2 linked regions of the Astyanax mexicanus genome follow. The protein of the gene in region 1 purifies or fractionates together with the protein of each later gene. This does not show direct contact. Links are inferred from orthologs where the notes say so. Each region holds a gene or a part of one and is shown in the gene's direction. Other genes may lie near its edges.

Region 1 (8,957 bases):
AGATAGAGAGACAGGCAGGTAGGTTGGTAGGTAGGTAGACAGATAGATAGAGAGACAGATAGATAGGTGGGCAGGCATGGTAGGTTAGTAGGTAGGTAGGTAGGTAGGTAGGTAGGTAGATACATAGACAGACAGGCAGGTAGGTGGGTAGGCATATAGATAGACAGACAGACAGAAAGACAGGCAGGCAGGTAGGTAGGTTGGTAGGCTGGTAGATAGATAGTCAGACAGACAAAAAGGCAGGCAGGTAGGTTGTTAGGTAGGTAGGTAGGTAGGTAGGCAGATAGATAGACAGTCAGACAGACTGACAGGCAGGAAGATAGGTTGGCAGATAGATAAACAGATAGACAGGTAGGTTGGTATGTAGGCAGATAGATAGACAGACAAACATGCAGATAGATAGATAGATAGATAGATAGATAGATAGATAGATAGATAGATAGATAGATAGATAGATAGATAGATAGATAGATAGATAGATAAATAATTTGTATGGGAGCAAATGTAGCAATAATCTGAGATTGAGAGGAGAGAAAGAGAGAGGGAGGGGTATTGATTGCTGCCTCTTTAAGTGGAGGCTATTGCTGCTGCTGCTGCTGCCGTTGGGTGAAGAGCTTTTTGAATGAGAACTCCTCCTCAGACTAACAGCTGCAGTGAGGTGTGTGTGTGTGTGCGTTCGTGTGTTTGTGTGGGTGTGTGTGTGTGCGTGTGTCAGGGTCTGGCTCAGAAACCAATCAGTGACACCACAGATACTGAGGCAGGCTTTCAGTGGGGCTGGAACAGTGATTGTGAATGTCTAGGAGATAAACAGGACATACTGATACCACAGTAAAACACCAGTGTCACCTCCTGATACATAGACACACTAAACACAGCTTACTGTGTGATAAAAAAAAAAACAGGAAACAACAGTGTCACAAACAACACCAACCTATCTATTGTTTCTGTATGTCCCTAATAGACACATTTACCATATAATTTCTTCTGAAACTGAGAGTACAAATAGGGAACAGACTACACTAGATGCTGTAACATTGCTAAGAATATTAGAATGCTTTCAGCCTCAGGGAGTAGGGATGTCCTGATCAGGTTATTTTGCAAATTATCTGTGTCAGTTTATATGATCCAATGTGATTTGGGTTTGTATAAATAATAACAGCCATGCAGTTTAGATCATTCTGAAGTACTTTTACTTTGTTTTAGTAACATTTTATTTAATAAGACTTCTGACTGACCAGACTCCCTGACCATTTAGCTCCCAGTTCCTTTGAAACACTGCAGTCAAGTCACTTTTGTGTACATCTATGTGTATTCAGGTTTATACTCCCTGGACTGATATCTGTTAATTCCACACTGCACACTAGTTCCACACTAACTAAACTCTTTACTGTATTTACCTTCTGAGAACTCTCCTCAGTGCAGTCGACTGGGCGATACTGTCCACTACTTGCTATGAACACTGTGGTTAAACCATAGACTTAGAATTGGATTTGGACTCAAATAGCTGATACCTGATCCATTTAAACATGCCTGGATAAGATCGGGACATCGATATTAGTGAGTATAGTGGGGTATTTACATTTGATCATTAGGTCTGGATCACAAACATTGCTTCAAATAATCCCAAAGGTATTGGATGGAGCTCCAACCCTGTAGATATTCAGACCTACTGCTCCCAGTCTATCTGTTGATCCTCAGCTGATGATTGTGACCTGGTGGTATGGAGGCCTCATGTGCCGCTCCAGAGCATCCCAGTCTGTTGTCAGGGCTATATAAATTCTGTGTGTGTGTGCATTTTAACATCTTATGTCAGCACTGAGTGCACCTAAGTAGCAAGTAGTTGGATTAAGTAATTAAAAAAGGCTGCCTGGGTACTTTCAGACATTCATGGCTGGTTTCCCGGACAGGGATTAAGCCTAGTCTTTGACTACACAGAACTCTGAATTAACATTTTTCATTAAAAAGAAAATATAATCCATAGCTAAGCTTGATCCCTGTCTGGCTGTTGTTTATGAAACAACATATAGTCAATAGAACAGCTTCCTGTTTACTGTTAGTGTACCCAACTAAAGTGAGGATAGAGCTAATTAGTTTATTACTATTAATACTGTTACTACTAATGCTACTACTGTGATTACTGTTACTGCTAATACTGTTAAAAATGTTAGTAATACTTCATACTATGATTACCACTACTTCCACTAATATTACTATAATTACTAATATTATTAACCATTTAGGTTATCTCCTAGTAACTAATACTGTAACTACTGTTACTGCTAATGCTATTAGTAATGTTACTAACACATCCTACTACTGTTAGTACTACTTTTACCAGTTTTGCTACAACTGCTCCTATTACTACTACTTCTACTACTACTGCTACTAATACTACTATGTAAGTACTACTATTACTATTGCTACTGTTTTACTGCAACCACTGCTATGGCTATTACTACTATTTCTATTACTCTCACTATGTTCACAACTACTGCCACTATTACTATCAATACTGCTACTTTAAAACTACTTTAAACTACAACTATTAATGTTATTACTACAACTACCGCTTACTATTACTACTTCTATTACTATCAATACTTATAAATCAGTTGACATTTTAAATCCTTTTTTTTTACTATGTATCATATGTATAAATAGTAGACATCAGACTACACGGAAATCATATTGTCCCAGCCTAATCATTTTTCATTATACCTGTCACAGGTGGACAAAGTGGACAATGACTAGGAGGACAATTTTAGCAAAAATTGACATTTGTTGAAAACATGTAAAGTGACTGATGTCACGGGTTCTTAAAGGAGGATTTATTCCAAGCTTGATATGGTTTTATGAAAACTGAAATAACTGAAGAAAAGTCTAAAGTATTTTTTTTAATCTTCAAAACTAAGAAAATAAAGTATAAAACTGTGTTGTTTAATCTCATTTTATCTTAACTAGGCAGCACCGTGAACATGACAAAAGAACACTGTAATAACTGTAATAAATGCAGAAAAAGTATTTTAAAGAGTAGCTTTCCTCTATGGTTGTAATAATTTGTTAATGAGTCTTGAGAAAGTGCTGGTAGATTCTGTGTGTCTCCAGAGCACAACAACCCTGCAGCAGCTGGAGTTATTTATGTACAGCCTCGAATATGAACCAATGAACTTTCCAGAACTCGCTAGAATATTTCTGCCGCTTTTTCCCGTCACATTTCTCCTCCCAGCTCCAGCGCACTGTCCTCTGATTGCTCTAAACCAAACCGCGCTGAGCGAAACAACCAATCAGCGAGAGGATGAATCTAAAGCGATGAGAAAAGTCACAATGCGCGAACCCGGCGTTTCGCTTTCCCATGTATAGCGGGTTGCCAGATTTGCAGGTGAAATAACACGACCGTTGATTAAAGAGAAATTGTGGAGCTTTCTGTGTACATTAACTAAGTGTACAATATAAAAAGCAAATCATTAATGAAGTGTAGGTGTAAATAAGTTTAATATATGTATGTTCTGTTCATTGCACATATCAGAAACACTGCTTGTTTGTGTTATTCAGCTTTTAAATACAAAAGAATCAAAAGTATCCACATTTTAAAGTATCCACTCATTTCTCAGGTGTCCATTGAAAATGAACGTATTTTAGTACAATGTAAATATATTAAAGAAGCTTAGTTGGGACATTTCGCTCAAGTGTGGCGTGATGTGCAGCTGCAATGGATTAAGTATAAACCAATAGCCATGAATCATTACAAATCCTGTTCTACCTTTCACTCTGCAAACTTTCCACTGCTTTATGTAATAAATATGTAACACAGTACTGTACTTTTAATTTCATTACTTGGGTAGTACTTAAGTACATAAATGATGGCATATCAACATTGAATTAACGTTGGTGTTATGCTTCAACCAACGTTGGATTTGGTGTTTATTTTAAAAAGTGAATAAATGTTGATATGGCAATGTTATTTCAACGTCGAACGTTCAACCTTTAATAAAACTTAGCTCATATTCGGGATGCTTAAAATTGTATGGAAGAGGGAAAAAAACTGTATGCCATGATGAAATTAACAATTTTATTTGTATTGCTGACTACCCAAGGCCAGAGTAGTGAGAGGGGCCCATGATAATCCAGATTTTTTTTTTCACGTGTACTGGCATGGATAGGGGCCCACTGACATTGAGAGTGTACAGGGCCCAGAATTTGAAACCATTTTTTCATCCTTCCATCCAAACATTTTTTTCAATTGTATAGTGATTCAATGTAAAATACTAATTCAAAAGGCAGAAGGTTGAGGACATTATGTTGATTGAAAGTTAAAATTTTATAGATATTTTAAACAGATATTTTTTAAACCATATTTCGACCATATTAAACCTGATTTCAACACTGAAACAATAACAACAGACAGTACTTCTATCATATTTCAACCATATTTCAACCACATTTCAACGCTGAAGGTCGGTTGTGTGCCAGTTGGGGGGTTAGCACTAGGTGGGCGATATGGCTCTAAAATAATATCACGATATTTCAGGGTATTTTTGCGATAACGATATACTTGCCGATATAGGAAAACAGAAATAATTCGTTAATTTCAGGAATATACTATAATAGTTTAACAGTATAATCATAATGTGGCAAAATAAATAACATAGCATAAAATAATATAATGCAGCAAAAAAAATTGCAGAATATTTAGTGCATGCATATAAACTGCAAACTAAAACAATTAAACAATACATTCACTTAAAGCTTCACAGTAAATAATGGACTACTTTTAAGACAGAACATCCCTATTATCACGATATGGATTTTTAATATCATGATATTTCTGTGTCACAATATATTGTATTTGGATATAATATTGCCCACCCCTAGTTAGCACTTCTACTTCTAAGTGTGGAGCTTAAAAACACTTTAACTTCTAATCAAGTCACCTTTTAAATAGAGCACTTGTACTTGTTTTATTATTATACATGTCTGTTTAAAACAGACAATTATGCAACATATGTGAGTCACGGAGGGATATTTCAGTGCGACATGGCAACCCAGATGCTGGGGTATAGTCATATTGAGCGGTGGGCGGCGCGTCTCCACTGTCGTCTCACAGTAGTTTCTGGAACCTCATGGTTACACCATGGAGAAAGTAAGTACCACTTCAGCCTGGGAATTAATTATATTCCTGCTGAGAAAATAGGAGATATATATTCTGTGGGGAACAGCATATACTTACTGCGTGTTTCTGCAGTTAGCTGAGGGGGGATTGTGTCGTGGTGTGAGTGGGCTGGCCAGTTAAACCCCAGCTAAGTTCGTTAGCGGCAGTTAACATTAGCCGGTGAGCTAGCGGTAATATTAGCTAAGCTAGCTGCTGTGTGACAGGCGCTGCTGCAGCGGTGCTCATTGTTAGCTCCGGTGCTAAGTTTATGAGCATGACTAATAAAATAAAAGCCAGTTATTGGAGTTATTCCTCTAGTTTATGTTTGGCAGTGCTGTAGCTCATTTTTATGGCACTGTTGTTTCGTTAACGCAGCTGTCTGACTCGTATTAGCAGCGTAACTAAGCAATTAGCTTAGTTCGCTAGGCTAGCTGTAAGTGCCTAGCTTAGCCTAGCTTAGCTTAGCCGGGGGAGGCTTTGCAGAGATGAAGCTGTAAGCTAGGTTAGGTGCATAAGCACTGCGACAGTTTATAAATGTCCCCTGTTGCTCTGATATAACATAGCTAACTATATCTATAATAAATGTATAGCTCTAAACAGAGTCGTTTTATATGGTTTTCTGTGGATAAAACACTTAATTCCTGCTAGTCTTGTTAACTTTTCTAAACGAAGTTGACCAGAAGTCCAGGTTTAGCTGATTAATTAACTTTATCTGTTTAAATTCTCCACCTTCTACTTTTCCTCCACTTGATTTGTTTCTGTCCTGACGATGTCAGATAGTTTACACAGGGTATAATTTATTTCTTTACTAGCAACACATAGCAATATAGTTACTGTGCCAAGTCCTGCTGGAAAATGAAATCCGCATCTCCATAAAAGCTGTCAGCAGAGGGAAGCATGAGTTATGTAAGACCAGCACCAGCAGATGACATGGCTCTCCAAACCATCACTGACCCATCAGTAAATTAAGCATTTAATTTGGAAATCAAGGGATCAGAGTCTGGAGGAGAAGTGGAGAGACACACAGTCCAAGCTGCCAGAGGTCTAGTGTGAAGTTTCCACAATCAGTGATGGTTTGGACAGCCATGTCTTCTGCTGGTGTTGGTTAGCTTCTCCACCTTCTGCTTTTTCGCCTCTTGATTTGTTTCTGTCCTGAGAATGTCAGATAGCAAGATATATGATATCGATCCTCTAAAAAAAGGGAAAAAAGAAGAGGAAATGACTGAAACCAATGTAAAGTTGATACAATTGTTCATCCCTAATACTAGGCACTAGTAACTAGTTTTTGAGTATGAAGATTTTGTTATAGTTAGTAGTGTCCTTGTATGGGCAATATTTTTATCCCAATTGCATATTAAGTGCTAATACAAACTCATATTTTTTAAATAAGGAATGTCAAAACAATGTATAGCCCAAGATATATATATTTTTATAGTATTATTAGTATGTAGTTGGGACACATCCTTAGTGTTGAGCAGTCTGGTATCAGTGTTGTAAGGTTTTAAGAATAGTAAGAACAGTTTGAGCGTATGTAGTATTATTAGTCTTTAACCACATAGACAAGTCTTTGTCATGAGTTGTGAAGACTGTAGGTGTTACTCTCCAGCCTGTAGATCAGCTGCTGTGACTGCTGTCAGTGGTTGTCTGTCAGTGACATTTGTGACACTTAGCTAAGAGCAGGTCTGTGTGGTGTGGCAGCTGACTCTGACCACTCTGATTTTTGACCACCACCAGTAAGCATTTGAAAATCAGTGGTATTAATAAGAATTTTTTCACTATTTGTTGCAGCAGAAGCCTTTACTTAGATTGTGCAGTAGATCACATTCCTGTGAGGATTGGATTGCATTCAGCCACAAAAGTATTAGTGTGGTCAGCTCATTATGTGTGATTTAGTAGGTCTGGGTCCCAAACACTGCTGTAACTCTTCTCAAATGTAGAATGCTGTTCTGCTGATCCACAGCCCAATGCCTGGGGTTTATACTCTTGTGGACAATGTTTGCTATTTGTAATCTGGTGGTATAGTGATGGCATGCTGCTCCAGACTTACCCATTTTAGCTTTTCTATGAAGATCTAAAATCTATGAAGATTAAAAGTTACCTTTACACATTGTATGATCTACAATCTTAAATCTGTACCTGATGCGCAGTTCTGAGATGATGTGGTGCTGCAGCTTACCCTATAAACCATTAGTGTGAAGAAGAGCTTTTTTGTGTGTAAAGTTGGGCGATGCTTTATTATCTAACCACTGTTGTGCTAAGTGAGTTGTTCTCTCTCTCACTCGTAGGTAGCTCTTCTTAGTTACATAAGAATGAGTGTATATATGAATACCTGAAATGTCACAAATAAAAAGAAACTGTGTGGACAGAAGTACTGGGACACTTTCCATCCATTGCTGTTTCAAAATCAAGAGTATTAAAGAGTTTTTTCTGACTTTGTAAGAGTAATTGTCTTTTAATTGCCATTTATTGACAATACTTGTTTGGTTAAGGAGGTCATCCAAAATTACAGGATTGAGCATCATGATTCCAGAAATCACAGTTTAATGGAGGGATGCTTTATACCCCTCTTGCCCGTGCCTGATATAAGGCATGGTGCCAGTAGGTTCATGTTTCTTCTCTAGAGACTTCTATTCTATTGGCTGTACTTTTCTACAAGGAAAAAATAAGCCGTGTGTGCACAAATAATTATGCCAACACACCTTGCCTTGCCATGAGTCATTGGTCACATAACATGCTGTAATATAAGCCAAATGCCATTAATGTAAATGTTAAGTGTGTCTTTAAAAAAAAAAAATAGTGGGTCAAGCACTGTAAGGTCTACGGGCAGATACTTCTAGTGGCTGGCCTGTTTAAATTGCAGTGCAAAAGAGTCTCAGCATCTTCCACCTGCTTCATGTTGTAATGTACATGGAGTTCTGGTTGAGTGCGGGACAAGCTGTGTGTTTCTGTTGCCCTAATACTTAAATTCTGCTGTTTTTTTATTTCTTTTCTGTTTCTCATTCTGTTTTTAAACCATCTCTAAGCAGTACTGAAAGTTCTTATCTTTTAAGTAAGAATCTGGGCAGTTAATCACTTAATCAAATCAGTCAGTGTCCTAATAAAGTATAGAATTGAATGTTTTTTAAAAGGTTTACCCATTACTATGCTCTTTTTCCCTCCCAGGTATCTCAGCTAAAAGACCAGGGCAATAAGGCGCTGAGCGCTGGAAACATTGATGAAGCCGTTCGTTGCTACACGGAAGCCCTGGTTTTAGACCCATCCAACCATGTCCTTTTCAGCAACCGCTCTGCTGCCTACGCCAAAAAGGGTGACTACGATAATGCCCTGAAAGATGCCTGCCAGACCATTAAAATCAAGCCAGACTGGGGCAAGGTGAATAAAATTCTTGCTTTTTTTTGTCTTTTATTTCCCCTCTTCTTCAGATCGGCTGGGTCAGCCATATGCTGAAATATTGATGGATGCACAGCACAAGACCGTTGACTCTATGTTTTAGCTTTTATAGCTAAGTTGCTATATGGTCGGTTGCCCTTATTGCTTCTGTAGATGGTTCATGAATAATATGTGGGACATATCCACAGAAATAAAGAAGCTGTATTTTGAGACTTTTTTGTTGATTTTGCAAACCGATAACAGTTTGGAGCACCACAGGAGTGTTTTATGGTATATCCTGTGCAGTTTGCACAAATAGGAAATGTGTTTAATTTGCTGATTGAACTTTTAGGTACATTTGGTGGATAAAAGTATTGGAACAAAGTATTTTAGTCACCAGGTTTAAAAGAGTTAATCTCTTTTTTCTCTCTCTCTCTGT
Region 2 (8,255 bases), on another chromosome or scaffold:
GTAAAAACAAGGAGGTGGTCACAGGTTATGCTTAAAAACACAGCGTATGTTTTCAGTTTTATCTAGTTACCATCTGCAAAACATGCCTATTAAAACTTAATTATCAATTGGGCTCCGTAAAACAGTAATAACTTTCTCTGGGTTGTGCATTTCAGTCTATGTTTACCTCAGACTAAGTCTATTCATCTGTACATACTGCAGACAAGTTACTAAAGAAGCAGATCCTCTATACTTACTCGCCTTTGATCTTCCCTGCAGCATAGGCTGCTCTCCACATGTGGCCTTGCAACTGCTTCAGTGCAGTGGTTTTCCTGTCTGCAGCCATCTGCCAGAGGACATTATCCACAACCTCCCGGATAGCCTTCTCCTCATCCGTGTGCACCGTCTGATCCACTGTGTGAACTGGGCACGCTCTGTTCTGCTTTAAGTCTTCTTCAGCCTGGAAACAGGGGCACATGTTTGAGTGAATTTGAGCAGAATCAGCTGACCGCATGACGACAGCCCAATTGCTGAATACTAATGTAAGAACGGCATCATGCTGGAGCCGCTAGGGTAGAATTAATGGGCTGAATAAAGAAGTCAGTTATGTGCAGTTATGAAGATTAATAATAATACTGCAGCAGTAATTCCCACTGGAATTAGAAGAATTCACCCAAGAACTACCAAAAGAGCCTTACATATCACTACTAGTCTTCTCCTAGTAGTGATATGAGGGACAACAGCAGCTCAGCAATTGTATGTTGATCAGTGTACACCTGATGGTAGAATAATGAACATAAACATTAGCCAATGTGAGAGAGGCCTTGAGTTGCTTGGAAGTTACCCTGGGAACTTTTGTGACCTCGCAGACCATTACATGCACTGCTACTAAAGTGATCATTGTTGGTCTTCCACTCTTGGGGAGGGTAACAATGTTCTTAAATTTCCTCCATTTGAAAACAATCTGTTTGACTGTGGATTGGTGAAGTCTAAAACTCTTTAGAGATGGTTCAGTAACCATTTTCAGCCTGAAGAGCTGGAAAGAGTCGGCAACAAAAAAAAGGTCACAAACTCTAATACTTCGTTGGACTACCTTTAGCTTTGACTTCAGCACGCATTAATTGTGGCATTGTTTCAAAAAGCTTCTGAAATGTCACAATATTTATTTCACAAGATCTTGCAGCAGCATTGATGATGGTAGAGTCTGACCGCTGCGCAAAGCCTTTTTCCAGCACATCCCAAAGATTCTCAATGAGGTTAAGCTCTGAACTCTGTGGTGAACAAGCCATGTGTGAAAATGATGATCTCATGCTCCCTGAATCACTCTTTCACAATTCCAGCCCCATGAATCCTGACATCACCATCTTGGAATATAGCCGTGCCATCAGGAAAGAGAAAATCCATTGATGGAATAACCTGGTCTATATTCAGTATATTCAGGTAGTCAGCTGACCTCATTCTTTCAGCACATACTGCTGCTGAACCTAGACCTGCATTCATAATATCATAGTGACTTATAAACATGGTACTGGGCGGTAACTGTAAATCTTATTAATTAATAGTCATTAATATATCCGTATTTGTTGTTAAGTTTGTGTATCATTTCCTCAGACAAGGTATAATACTTTTGTATAATGCTGTGTACATATATTTCTCTAATATCCTGAGAGAAAGACCAGTGCAGGCCAGGCTGCTGCTCTGGGTGAATGGGTGGATGGTGGGTGGATGACCTGTTTCTTTAGAAGATGCACGTCCTGCTTGCACTCATCCTCCTCCCAGTGCGCTGACAGGTAGTCCTCCAGATGCTCTCTGATGTATGGAAATAAAACGTCCTGCAAATAAAAGTAGAGTAACAGAGAATTCTTCCTCAGTAACTACCATCATGTGCCTGGTGTAATTATTATGTGTATAAATCATGTATATAACAGCGGTACTACCTTCACGAATGTGATGGGGGTCGTGGTTCCTTCTATGTCCAGCAGAAAGACGCTAACGTTCTCCGGAACTGTAATCGTTGCCATCTTCCAGAATGGCGAACGATCTGCCTCTATTATAAAGTTTTCAGAATAGTATCAGTACAGGAATCAGTTCCTCAGATCATCCAGATTCACCGCCCGACCAACAATCACAGATAATCCAGAGAAAAGCAGCCAGAGGAGCACACTAGCCAGCTAGCACTCTGCTGCTAACACATGGCTTGGTCAACGGGTTGCCAAATAATGGTAAGAAAAAAACTCTATTTCTATAGTTCTGAATGGCAACGTAGTCTGTGAGTGTAGTCAGTAATGACAGTACTTATCATGTTTTGACATGCAGACAAAATGCATAAGCAAGGGCAGATTCTTAAGAACTGCTATTCAAAAAGTTAATTCATATTTATTACATTTCTGCTGCACATGATCTAGTTAAAAACAAAAATGGTTTTTACACTCTTAAAATATTCTTTAAAAAGGATATTGTAGATACGATAAGATAATATAATCACAATATGATAAAATATAAATATATTGCTCAGCACTACAATAATAATAATACTTATTTAATTCATTTTTATATTTACATTTCTTTTAAATATACATGATTCCATACACAACTATTTTATATATGTGTAAATAAATAGTGTTTATTTTTAACAAACGATTTTATTTAAAAAAAATACAAAAAAAACACTGCAGTTTTAACGCTATACATAACGGAGGTTACCTACTTACCAATCTGGCAACCACGAATATGGGCATTGGCCCTGCCCTGCAATGGTGCACAACTGGATTGCGCACACTTTACGCAAAGCTACCTGATCTACAGCCCATACGCCGAAGCACTTGAGGCAAGAAATTATTTAAAGATCAGTGATTATGTATGTACGTATGTATGTATGCGCAGGTTCGCTTATTTTCAGGAATATTCTGTGTGAACGACATTTATTCAGAATATTATTTAATCACAGATGTGTACAGTGTATTATTCGCTGGTAAAAACATTGTTGAACAGCTTTGCTTAATAAAAAAAATAATAACGTGATATTCTAAATGTATTATATTTTTAAAATAGACCAATTCAGTTAAATGGCAGTTTGTTTTCGAGGGGATGTTTATATTAAATTTTATGTCATTTTTAAATATCATTTCAGTTCAATCCAGTGCCAAGACGTTTTCGTCATGTTTGCCTTTTGCCCCTAAATGTCATTTAATCTTTAATTTTTTTATTTATTTTTTTTACAAAATGAGCACTAATGAGTTAGAATATGTATATGCTGTCCCATCCAAAATACAGGAACAGTTAGGTCTATCCCATTATTATTTTTTTTACATCAAAGGATTATTAGGAGACAAAATATCAACATTTCAGCTTTTATTTCCAGTTATGTACATCTGGATCCGATACATATTTCAGAAGATATCATCTTTTATCTGAACCCACCCATTTGTATTGTCAGCAAAGGTACTGAAACTGTTAGGTGTGTTTTGTTGCCCAACTGTGTCCTGACACACAGATACACAGTTTCAGATTTGGGTTTTTGACAGGCTGGTGAGGAAAGCTGGTTCTGTGCTGGGATTAGAGCTGGAGTCTTTAACACCACTGGCAGAGAAGAGAACCCAGAACAGTAAACTAAAAAATTTTTTTCATTTTTTTATTCTGGTCACAACAATGGACATACCCCATCTCTGCAGACACAATCTCCTAGATGCCCTATTTATATTATTTTACCCCATTCTGCACTACTAGATCTATATTTCTATTTATTTTCCACTGTTTACATGTTTGCACTGGTACATATTTTTTTACGGTGTTTAACTGCACTAGAACTTCCCTCTGAGATTTCCAGAATACATCCATTCATTCATTCATCCATCCATCCTTCCATTTATTTATCTATCTACTACCTACTACTAAAGGACCATACTTTTATACTTTATCTATTAACCAATCCATCCATCCAACCACCCATCCATCCACCCATCCATCCACCTGCCCATCTACTACCTACTACTAAAGGACTGTACTTTTATACTTTATCTATCCATCCATCCATTTATCTATCTACATATCTACTACCTACTACTAAAGGACTGTACTTTTATACTTTATCTATCCATCCATCTACCCATTTATTCATCCATCCATCCATCCAAGCCAGGCTGGAGGTTGTCAAGCATTTGAACTGATGAGTCAAACCGTTACCAGTGTGCATTCCTGTCGCTGTGTCCAAAATAAGCAGACTTCAGAAGTGCGTATATAAAGAGGGCACTAATTTTATTAGGACGCGACCCCTTAATTCCTCCCGCAGCCCCGCCCTCTTCTGCTCCCGCCTTTTCTGTTTGCGTCACCAGACCCCATCAGCCATTTTATCCGCCGCGTCAGTATTTCAGTGAGTGTTTGCTGTTTGGCTCTTTTTTATAGCTATAAAATCGCTTTAGCAGCTCCGCAGAGGGTCACCCCACACACCTACACACTCTAAAATGCAGACAGAACAGGAAAGTACCGACTTCAGCACCGACGAGTTTCCAGAGGGGTCCAAAATCAACGCGAGCAGGAATCAACAGGATGACGGGTGAGCCGCTGGCTGCTAGGCCAAGGCCAGATCAAGGCTGCAGCTTCTTGCTCGGAATTTTCCGGTCCACCTTAAATATTCCTGCAGTGGAGTGCTGGCGCCGGTAGTGGCGCCACAGTAAAAGCCCTGCACTATTTAAGGTGGACTGAATAATTGTATTTAGGAGCCTACCGGGCCGGAATAGGAAAACTCCAGTGTATTAACCTTAAATAGACTTTGGGCTAATTAAAGAAAACATATTTAGTTAGCTAACCTAGCTAGCTTTGTTTTATTTTAAGGTTTTAGGTTATAATGAAATTGTAACTACTAGGCCAGCTAGTTAGCGTTAGTTTCATAGCTAATGCTAACTAACCTATATAACGCTAGCTAATAAATATTTAAGTGCTTTACACTGAGCAAAAGCAAACGCCTCTCTGAAATACTCAATTTGGCCTTTTTAACTCTGTTTAAAAAAACTCTATCTTGCCATACAAATTATAGATAGATGAATGGTATAAAGTTGTTGGTGCTTTCAATACTTAACCTAAAATTCTCTGCCGTTGATTGTATTATTATTTTAACTGGTTTATTTGCTTGTCCTCTAGTTTAGGTTTAAATACAGAAAGAATTATTGCAGTAATTCTGCCAATTAAGAGCATTAATTCTTGTATTGTAACGTTAGTTAGGATAGTTTAGGCAACAGAAAAGTATATGGGTTGCTGGTGGGTATCCAATTACTTCAAGTACATCTGTCTATTATCTAGTTAGCTAATTATCTTTAATTACTATAAGTGGTTCAAAAGCAATATCGTATCCTGCCTTCGTAAGTCAAAGCATATTCCTTGCTAAATAAAAACCTTACCCAGTACCACACTAGAAAACTTTTTTAAATGGATCAAGCCACCCCTGCTGTTTATACTGTGTATGACTGTGCATGTGACCAATCTGACCTCCTAGTTGATACTTAATGCAGTTACTGGCAATGTATGCTTCACAGTTAAATTAAATGTATATATAAAATAAAAAAGAAAAGAATTACACCTCTATTTGGGAGATTTTTTTTCCTTAGGGAACCATTTTCAGGCATTTTATTATTGATAACAAGCTAAGCAATTTGAACCCCCACTACTTTATCATGTGATCTACATTATGTTGCCAACAACCAGTGAAACAATGCAACACATGGGGGGGGGGGGGGGGGTGATTTTAATAAGCTTACAACAAGAGTGTAAGATTATAAAGACAAAGATACTGTCTTGTTACATTTTATAAAAAAAAAAAAAACAATAATGCCAAACAAAGTATTGTGCTTTGATGCAGTATTTCCCCACAATTTAATAATACTGATTTGTTTGTTTTAACAGGAAAATGTTTATTGGAGGCCTGAGTTGGGACACCAGCAAGAAAGACCTAACAGACTACCTGTCCAAGTTTGGAGAAGTGTTGGACTGCACGATCAAAACAGACCCCATGACTGGCCGTTCTCGAGGCTTTGGGTTTGTGCTCTTCCGGGATGCAGAAAGTGTGGACAGGGTGAGTTCTCTACATTGCTAGCATGGGTACATTGGGATTTATCTGTAAATTACTACAATCGTACAATAATTAAAGCTGAACAATTGAAAAATATCTGTTTGCTCAGGTTCTGGAACTGAAGGAACACAAACTGGATGGTAAGCTTATTGATCCGAAGCGAGCCAAGGCCATGAAGGGGAAGGAACCTCCCAAAAAGGTGTTTGTTGGTGGTCTCCATCCAGAAACAACAGAGGAACAAGTTCGGGAATACTTTGGAAATTACGGAACTGTAAGTAATATGAATGGCCTAGGACTAAAAAAAAAACACATTATAGTACTTGGTTTCTCCAGAAGTGTTAACTTGTATGAGTCCATGCTAGTGCTAAAGTGGTTGGCATGTGTGTTCCTAACAGATTGAAAACATTGAACTTCCTGTGGATGGTAAGACAAATGAGAGGCGAGGATTCTGCTTTGTAACGTATGTGGAAGAAGAGCCTGTTCAGAAGCTTTTGGAAAACAGATACCACCAAATTGGAAGTGGAAAGGTTGGTTTACTGCGTTTATTTACGAGCATGGCTAGTCCAATAAGGTCTAAATTAAACTTTTTTTTTTAATGTGGGTATGTTTTTTAGTGTGAAGTTAAAGTTGCCCAGCCTAAAGAAGTCTACAGACAGCAGCAGGGCAGAAGTGACCGGGGCTTTGGAGAAGGAAGAGGAGGAGGATTCAGGGGTCGTGGAAGAGGAGGTATGTAGTCTTTTGTCTAAAGCAGCAGTCAGTTGTATTTTCTGTTTTGGCTTTAGGTTTTCATTCCAACCAAGGAGAATCACTCCTCAAACCCTTAACTCAAGTCTGAAAACAACTGATCCAACAGCTGCTTGATTGGATTGAAAACATGCAGTTATACTGTTCTTTGAGGAAGAGATGGGTGCATTTACAATTAGCCAAAACAGAGAACCACTGTGAGGGAGGGTTTTGCAGAAAGTACTAAAACTGAGTTCTTCCCTCTATGATTCTAACCATTTACATTCCTTTGTGCAGGGCAAGGTCAAGGATACAACCAGGGTTACAACAATTATTACGGACAAAACTATGGTAGCTATGGCAATGGATACAACCAGGGATATAATGGCTACTCTGGGTACGACTATTCAGGCTACAACTATCAGAATTACGGATATGGACAAGGGTATGATGACTACAACAGTAAGTCTTAACTTTTTATTTATTTGTGAGTTTTGCTATTTTATTGTTACAAACATGCATTAAACATTTGACAAAATATATATATATATTTTTAATAGGTCAGCCCAGCAGTTACGGCAAGGCCTCCAGGGAGGGTGGAAATCATCAGAACAACTACCAGCCATATTGACGAAATGACATGACCTGCTAAGAGTTATGGTAAGACTGCATCTTTGGCCTTACATCTGTCCTCTTGTATACAATTTAAAGATCAATAGACACAAACTGATTATCCTAAAACAAGTGGTATGCATTATCATGCACCCCATGTTGAGTAATTTGGGGATTTGTCTATAGATCTTTAATTATAATTTAATAATGCTTGTGTTAGTGGTGTGCCTTATTTTTGGTTTTAAAGCTCTCCAGAAAAACATAAGCGTTTTTCTGTAGATTGGTTTCCATTTTCCTCCCTGCTTTTTAACAGGTGATCATAAGGAAATAAGATAGTGTTGATAGCAATGCTAACAGGTAAAGTACTGCTAAAGGGTACAAAGTAAGGGCACCTCCTTATTTTATTTTTTTCATTCTTTCCCTAATTCTGATATTGTACTTGTTTGTACCTGCCAGCGGGGGACTTCATTGCAGGCCGTGTGTCACCTGACCACGAAATTCTCTGGGCGTCGCACATAGCGGGCAGAGAGCACGGCATGCACAAGAAAACGCTGTCCTGTGGTATGGTCTCTTCAAACTTCCTGTACCAGCGTTTAAAAACAAAGAACAGACATTAAAAAGGAGATCGCTCATTTTCCCTTAAGTTGTCAATGCTTTCTTTAACAGTTTTTTAAATGAATTTTTTACAGGTATTTAACAGTGAAACCTAAGTGATTTAACTGTTTGTTGTATTCTCTTTTATTAATTTTAGTGTTCTTGTATTTCAGTTCTGGAGCATCAGTGATTTTAATTTATTTATTTTTCTTTTCGTTCTCCTATGAACGGTCTCCAATCCTGTAAACTGCAGAAACTCATAATGCTTGCTTTTTCTTTAGAACCC

The links.
Region 2: the proteins of stip1 (region 1) and hnrnpdl fractionate together in Homo sapiens (co-fractionation; 3 studies listed by BioGRID, with this or other methods). This does not show direct contact. The link is inferred for Astyanax mexicanus from reciprocal best matches to the Homo sapiens genes STIP1 and HNRNPDL.

The regions. Positions count from the first base shown.
Region 1 is NC_064408.1:21,487,250-21,496,206, forward strand, and holds the start of stip1 (stress-induced-phosphoprotein 1), read left to right. Parts: upstream 1-5,055; 5' UTR 5,056-5,131; coding exon 5,132-5,140; intron 5,141-8,311; coding exon 8,312-8,521; intron 8,522-8,957. UniProt on the Homo sapiens protein: Acts as a co-chaperone for HSP90AA1. Mediates the association of the molecular chaperones HSPA8/HSC70 and HSP90.
Region 2 is NC_064427.1:26,845,797-26,854,051, reverse strand, and holds the start of hnrnpdl (heterogeneous nuclear ribonucleoprotein D-like), read left to right. Parts: upstream 1-4,299; 5' UTR 4,300-4,439; coding exon 4,440-4,531; intron 4,532-5,874; coding exon 5,875-6,043; intron 6,044-6,149; coding exon 6,150-6,311; intron 6,312-6,435; coding exon 6,436-6,567; intron 6,568-6,654; coding exon 6,655-6,766; intron 6,767-7,060; coding exon 7,061-7,225; intron 7,226-7,323; coding exon 7,324-7,394; 3' UTR 7,395-7,423; intron 7,424-7,831; exon of another isoform or gene 7,832-7,936; intron 7,937-8,255. Other genes in the region: enoph1 (enolase-phosphatase E1), read right to left, coding at 237-439, 1,710-1,811, 1,917-2,000. UniProt on the Homo sapiens protein: Acts as a transcriptional regulator. Promotes transcription repression. Promotes transcription activation in differentiated myotubes. Binds to double- and single-stranded DNA sequences. Binds to the transcription suppressor CATR sequence of the COX5B promoter.